Lepisosteus oculatus: one gene and its partner. The protein of the gene in region 2 purifies or fractionates together with the protein of the main gene of each other region. This does not show direct contact. Links are inferred from orthologs where the notes say so. Each region holds a gene or a part of one and is shown on either strand. Other genes may lie near its edges.

What was found.
Region 1: the proteins of sugt1 (region 2) and rnf41 purify together in Homo sapiens (affinity purification with mass spectrometry; 3 studies listed by BioGRID and IntAct, with this or other methods). This does not show direct contact. The link is inferred for Lepisosteus oculatus from reciprocal best matches to the Homo sapiens genes SUGT1 and RNF41.

The regions. Positions count from the first base shown.
Region 1 is NC_090696.1:15,789,815-15,793,414, forward strand, and holds the start of rnf41 (E3 ubiquitin-protein ligase NRDP1), read right to left. Parts: upstream 2,741-3,600; 5' UTR 2,689-2,740; coding exon 2,518-2,688; intron 37-2,517; coding exon 1-36. UniProt on the Homo sapiens protein: Acts as E3 ubiquitin-protein ligase and regulates the degradation of target proteins. Polyubiquitinates MYD88. Negatively regulates MYD88-dependent production of pro-inflammatory cytokines.
Region 2 is NC_090710.1:16,037,938-16,041,896, reverse strand, and holds the start of sugt1 (protein SGT1 homolog), read left to right. Parts: upstream 1-944; 5' UTR 945-1,058; coding exon 1,059-1,072; intron 1,073-1,179; coding exon 1,180-1,228; intron 1,229-3,809; coding exon 3,810-3,900; intron 3,901-3,959. UniProt on the Homo sapiens protein: May play a role in ubiquitination and subsequent proteasomal degradation of target proteins.

The DNA.
Region 1 (3,600 bases), on a different chromosome or scaffold from region 2:
GCAGGCATTGCAGAAGGCATGTTCACAGTGAGGCGCCTGTGGAGAGGATATACGAAATGAAATGGATAAAGTTAGGCACAGTTTTATAACGAGCAGAATTTCACAGTACTGCTCCTTGGGATCTCCAGTCTCTTCTGTTTATTAGTCGAATTTAACTCATTACTTCAGCTAATCAGCTTTTGAGAAACAAATCAAACTGTGGGATAGGAGTCTTTCCATTTTGATGGCTTTTTGTTACAAGCACTGAAATTACTTTATTAGGAAAAGTAACACTTCTATAAACTGTAACTGTATGCCACATTCACAATGATTTCTCTAATTCAACCAAAGAAATAAGCAACATTTGATTTAATGATTGCCCTTAAAGAAAAAACAGTAAATATTCTGTATGTGAAAAACCTATTCATGGTGCTCCTTAACAAGCTTCAAATCTCTGCATTTTTAAGGACTAAAATACCTGCATTATCCCTTACTTCCTGCCCCAATTGAGAGCTCTATACAGAACAGATATGATCAATTGGACTCTGAAAGAGTATAAAAATCACATTCCTGGAGCACTTGAAGAATAAGTGACATGCGCAAATACAACAGAGCATTTCAAAACTCAGTGCAGCTGAAACCACACAGTACCAGAGGCAAGGCTGCCCACCTTGGTAATGCAATAGCTAAAATTTGGAAGACAGTCAATGTTTGAGAAGACTCAATTGGTACGTTTAGCCAAGTAGGACTGTCAAAAGTAGAGTAATTAAAGTTTACTGAAATTGACTAAGCCTTTAATTTTCCAGAAATAGCTGTAAAGCTGACAGCTACTGACCACCAGTGTTCAGTAATGGGCCACTCCAAATAATGTACAGAAATTTTAAATTAAGCAAGGCCAGAGCTTTTGTCTAAGAATGTTCGCCAGCAGAATACAAGCCAGTCATACTTCAGCTGAGACATGTTCTATTTTTTAATAAACCCATATTAGAGACCAATCAAATCACAGAATTTAAGAAACAGCTATATCAAGAAGGATCAATGCTAATAAGATTAAAGTGGGTGAAAAAAAACATTCTGATCACAAAATGCATAAACTTGTTTCTTCTAAGCATTGGATTCCTATCCTGGCTGTACAGCTGCCAGCTCGCTGCGCAAACCTCTGCAACATGCTCAAGAGCAAACAGACTAGACAGGTCTGCAGCCTGGGAGAAAAACAGCAGCGAGCCAGGGTCCGCACTTCAACATGAATGCGGTACGGGCAGTGCATGCATAGAGCAGACTTCTAGAACGAAGAAGCACTAGCCTTATCTGGTTTTCCTTGTCATGTATCCCAAGACAAAACATTTCACTAAGGATACAGTAGCTGCATGTCACTATGCTGGAAAGCTCAAAAGCAAAACAGTGGGGGGAAAAAAAACTCACCTCATAGGCCCTCGGATATGACAGCAGTGACTGAATTAAGGCATTCAGGAAATACATTTGAAGCTCCGTATAAACAGCACTCTGCATGACTAATACTGGTCCATAGTCTTTCTCCTAACCTGACAAGGATTAGGACACTACCTATCCTCCTCTTTCTTCATATTGTCAGCTCAGAAAGGCAGTGCAGACAGGCAAACAGGCACATTGTAAAGGAGGGATCTTTGCATCCCTTTGCTCTGTCACTTTGTCCCCTCACAGCAGATCAGTACATCTCTCTCCTCCCCCATCACTCCCTCCCCTCTGCATCTCTCATCACTCCTTAAAAGCTCCACAAACCCTTGCGATAATCAGCTTCCATACCTGGAGTTAAAAGTACAGTTAAATGTTTTTACATCAGAAGATTATTACCAGTAATACTTCAAAAATGCATCTTGGATTTTCAATACACTTTAGAAACTGTGGTCAAATTGTCTTTTGGGATTCATGCTAACTTTTAAAAGCATGCAATGCTTTTAAAAGACATGTCTGTGCAATGTCTCTTATGTAAACAGCCCCAAGGCAATAGACACAGAAAAACAAGAATAGAATCGATTACAGAAGCTATTTTAGACTGTGGAGTAAAAGATCGGTCGCCATTAAATACCCCCAGATGAGAAACTGTCAGGGAACACAAACAGCCCTAATGCTCACTCAGCTGTGCTCTACAGGAACAATATACTTGGCTTTTCATCAGGGGTTAAAAAACTAGGTAAACGTCAACATGAGTGGCCATTATGCCAAACCCAGACACAGAAAGAGTTTTTGGCTTCAGTTTCATCCAAGGCCTTGCTACAGGGACTCAACCGTTGAATATAATGAATGTAGAATGTATTGATGTTGAAAGGGATGCCAAATTCCTCTAAAAACATCTGTAGGTCTGCGGCAGTACAGAAACAGGCCGGGCCACCCTGGCTGCACATGGTGTTCAGTCTTACGAAACCAGCTAAGATCTCAGTTATCTCAAGATCCCACATTGCAAAACACTACAATTATACTTTTTTGCTAGGATTTTAGCCTTCCAGCTCAGAGACAAATGTCCCTGAACAACACAAACATCTGTTTCAACCTCCTCCCTACCCTCTTTCTGTCACTCTGTCTCAGTGGAGGACAAGCAGGCACAGATCTTGGTTGATGAAACTGGATGAGGGTCCCTGGACAGGGCGAGTCAGAAAATAAAGCTGAGACTAAACAGGGAAGATGATGACACTTCATTGAAATGAATACATTATTTCTGTGTGAAGAAGTCATTTCAAGATTCCAGTATGCTCTTTACAGCAAAGCTCTGGATATTTTTACTTCAACACCACAGTCTTTAGTTTACACAACATTATACATAACTACGTCACTAGATAAATAAGCAGAAATAAGGGTGAGGCAGTTATCTAACAAATCAATTCAGTCATGAATGACACTAAGTAATACCCAGTAAGACCAAAATAAATGACCTGAACTTCACACCTGAAGAAGGCTCCACAGCCGAAATGTTGTCTCTTTCTTTCAGCATGAAATAAACCTTTACTTGTTCCTCCAAAGAAAATGAATTCTAGTTGAACAAAGCCTTTACCATAAGCTTGGGATAGCATGTCCCAACAGTCAACTTCTAACCACACAAACATACTTATTTTACAGTTTCTATCTAAGCACAGACAAAACACTACTAAAAAAAACAAAGTAAGCAACACATCAAATAAATGTCTGTCCCATGGATGCCATCCTATGAGCTCCCCCCTGAAAGGACTGGGCTTATTCAGGGCACAGTAGGAAGTGTGTGTGACAGGACGCGAAATCGCCAGGTGTACCTGCACAGGCTCTTCTAAGACACCGCTGCAAATGGGACACAAGAGATCCTCGTCCACTTCCCCTTGGAACCTGGTGACGTCATAGCCCATGGCGCATTACAGAAACCATCAAACCTGGGAAGGACGGAAAGCGGCAGGGGGTTAGAAATGCCCGATTCAAGCACACAGCAGTCTAGCTGGGTTTTGAATGCATGGTGCAGCACGGGGACAGTGTGCAATACAGACACGCAAGAGAAGTGCTCCTGAGTCAAAGGGTCTCTTCAGCAAGCTGATTTTTTACCAAAGCAGCTCTTGAGCCTTGTAGTTCAAACACAATCAAGCTATGCGCAAACCTCCATTACCACGGCATGGCCAAGGGAAA
Region 2 (3,959 bases):
GGGGGTAACTACATTATTGAATAATCTGTACTCTGTAATTAAATCTCAAAGTGATAGATCTCGTTTAGCTTGCAGTGATAGGCTCCGGTTACCCCCGCGACCCCGTCTTGCATAAAACGGTCAGAAAATGGATGGATAAATATATTTTTGCCCAACACGTTAGTTATACGATAATTATTAGTTTCGTTTTTGGGTCCAGCAAACTCTATTACGTTTTGCTGGCTCTACAGCCGTATTCCTCATTACACTCTTAGCAATACGAAGCAGGTGTCAACATAAAGAACAATTCTATTTAGCTGTTTACTGTTACAGATTCTTTAATTTACAGTTTCCAGTAACGAGAAACCCGCATATTCCCGCTAAGAGTTGCCTCAACTCAGACCCTATCCGGAAAACAGGGTACAAAATCAACGTACGGAAGCACTCGTTTTTTTCAACATTATTTTAAACCGATTGGCATCTTAATAGTTTTATGGATTGTTTTTGAACTTTACTCGTGTTTAGCAAATTCAATCTCATTTACTTAACGTCCAATAATACTATTGTTTCATAACATTCTGAACATATTAAGTGTGACCATGCATGTAATACCCTAGTTGAGCATGACTGTTATATAATGTGTACGTATGCCATTATCATTCGTATTCGCGTTATCGATTATTCTGTTTTGTCAGTCACAATACCACTAGCCCACACAGAATTTTGAAACTTTTGTCTCTTAGAAACAGTAGCACATCTAGAGCTTTACTGTCCTAGTTACTAGTTTAATTAAAAGACAAATATTCATGTTAACTGTTTACGTTGTAAAAAAAGGCACATGCCCACCTGCTGACCTTTCTGGGCAGCAACGAACTAGTTGCAGTTCGTTATAGTTTGGCCATACTATTGCATTATGGGATACCTATAGTTTTTGAGGAAAAGCGATTTCTTGCGTCGCTCTGTGTGACGTCACACAGATCGCAGGGTGGATATCTATGGTTGTTTTCACGTCTTTTTCCATCTGAGCAGCCCAGCAGCCCCATCCAGAACGTTCTGGACGTCACTTCGGGCAGGACTTCATGGCAGACGAAAGGCAAGTGCAGTGTACATATTTCACTACAACATTCAGTTAAATTAGCCGAGTAACGAGTAGGTTGAGAGTAGCCGATTTTCTCGTTAACTGGTGTTTCTGTGTTGCAGGAGCTTCCCTGACAGCCTCATTGACGAGGATCCTCAGAAAGCTCTAGAGGTAAATAGCGTCCCTGGGTTGCTGTGCCTGTTTCCTTCCGTGGTCTTTCTCTTAGGTACTCAATTCGATTCTTTACGGTATTATTTTATACAGTCGGAATAAGCGTAGCCAATTTACTATCCATTTAGTAATAGATTTGGGCCTTTCTGTGTCAAAATGGTACTTCTAAACAGTTGTCTGCCCAACGATTTTCTCCGTAATGTTTTCACTTTTCCGCATATAGCTAAACTTTTTTTTCTTTGTAACATTACTCAATGTCCCAGAAAACGTGTAAACCTACATCCGTTTTAAATTGTCGTATTGATTCCTTTGGATTCGTTACATGACATTCCAGATCATCCTATCTTGCTAGATTCAGTTCAGTTCAAGATGTCAATGTAGTATTTAAGCGTGCTCCTCAAACCGTCCAGTCACTTGATATCTCCTTGTCCCCCAGCCAGTACAACCGGTCTGAATAAATAGTGCTTATTGGGCACATTGGAGTCAATTTAATCTGAAAACCTCTGTGGGCTATGTACTTTACATTGGCATTGGAAATATTTTAATATTGTATTCTACATACATGTGTATATATAAATGTGTGGATAAAAAAAAAGTTACAGTAGGAGAGTTAAGATACCAAAGGGAAAACGTTATGAGCCTTTCGTGATGATTTCCAAGTGGAATTTAAAATCATTGCCCTCTCCTTCAGTTTGTATCGGGAAAGACCCATAAATTTGAACTGAAGGTTCCATTAATTTAATTTGGATCTGTGATGGGTTTGAGCATTTTGCTGGATATTGGAATGAGAACTTTTTTAAACCAACCATTTTTGTGTGCTAGAATGTCTATAAATAATGTGCATTGGCACTTTGACAACTCGTTAAATCATATGCTACTACCATACCTTGGTCCTGTATTTTCTAAATACTCTCAGACATTTGCCTTTTTCTGTATGAAACACATTGTTCACCACATGTAGGTCAGTGATAGCTCTTTCAGGTTTCGCACTCATCCTTGTAGCTAATAATGGTGATTTAATCATCTTCTTCCAACATGCATTAACCTTCAGATAATTAAAAAAAGGTGTCAGAAATTCGTTAACTACAGAGTTTATTTTTGTTCTACACGTTCAGGGTCACAGATAATGGGAAAAGAGCCTCCTGACGATAGAAATGATAGACTTTAGCAATGCGTTTTATTTCTTTTTGTTCTGTTCATAGTTTGCATGTAATAGTAATGGGGACTCCCCTCCACCACCACCAATGTGCAGCATCCACCTGGATGATGCGACAGCAGCCATAGTGCGCCAGAACACTCACCACACATCAGCTATCAGTGGGGAGGAGAGCAGAGTAATGTAGTCAATTCATAGATGGGGATTATTAGGAAGCCATGATTGGTAAGGGCCAATAGGAACTTTGGCCAGGGCGCTGGGGTAACTTATCAGTAACTTATCATACATATACAGCCATAAAGGAAGTATTATTCATCAAATTCTGTTGATACATCTGCACTATACACATCTAAATAAGTGCACATTTCTCCAAACAAAGTCAGCCCTCTTTCCTGTTATTAGTTTATTAATAGGTTGTGTATACATCCCTGATTTCTTGTAAAAAAAAAAGTTATGAGATGTAAATGGCATGATAAGGTCAGCTGATTTTTTTTCACATCCACAAACTTGGACGTTAGATGTGAAATCTGTTTGCACCTGTTCTTCGCTGGGTCTCCAGTCTGTTGCGCTGATGTTTTTCTGTTTTGCTTGAGTTACTGAATACTTGCAACTGTACCAATTCAGAAACTTTTTCCCCTCTTATGTTAGATGAGTTTTAAAATATAGCGTTGTACCTAGGTTGTGGTTAAGCCTTAATTACCCCCACAATAAATTATATTGCATTTTACTGTAAATATCAATGTGTACTTTGTTGACATTTTTCTTACATTTTCTAATATACTGTACATACCTTAAGAAATGTCCTATGCTGAAAAACTGAAGGAATTAACCCTTTTCAGTCTTGAACTGAAAAGATTATGCGGGTACCCGATAATATGAACCAGGGGACACAAATGGAAACTATGTGGAAGTGCTTTTGGTTTCAAGAACAAGAGGCAAATCTTTACCCAAAGAGCTGTGGGAGTGTGGAACAAGCTGCCCAGCCATGTCGATGATGCCCATACTCTGGCTTGTTTGGGAAATGGATGAGTAGATTGAATCGTTGGATCCAGTTAGCTGCTTACTACTAAATAGACTAGATGGGCAAAATGGGCCTATTCCTGTTTGTAATCTTTTATTTTCATATTTTCAGTGACTAGTTTTTGTTTTTAAGTCACGTGTGAAAATTCACAATTGTTCTGAGGCTGATCTTGTTGCCTATAAGCTTTCTGAGCACCAGTCTTACTCAGTCAGTTGTCCTGTATGGCTTGGGGTGTCCTGCTCATACTAATTTTAATAACATAGCACAGACACAAATCTAGGGTTTCTGATTAACTTGCGCTTCTATTCAGTACTTTTACCAGTTGAGCCTTTTGGAAGCATCTGAGGTTAAGCTCTGCATATGTTTTTGTATGTCTCGGCACATTCATTTGTATTTTCTTCCAGGAGCTGAATGGGGTATTGGAACGAACATCAGATAATGCAGAATGGTACTGTCAGAGATCCTACACCCACCTTCTGCTACAAAATTACAGCAGTAAGTAAATCTACTACATCCAAGTCCTCAATATTTGTCAGTAATGGTGCCTGTCACCT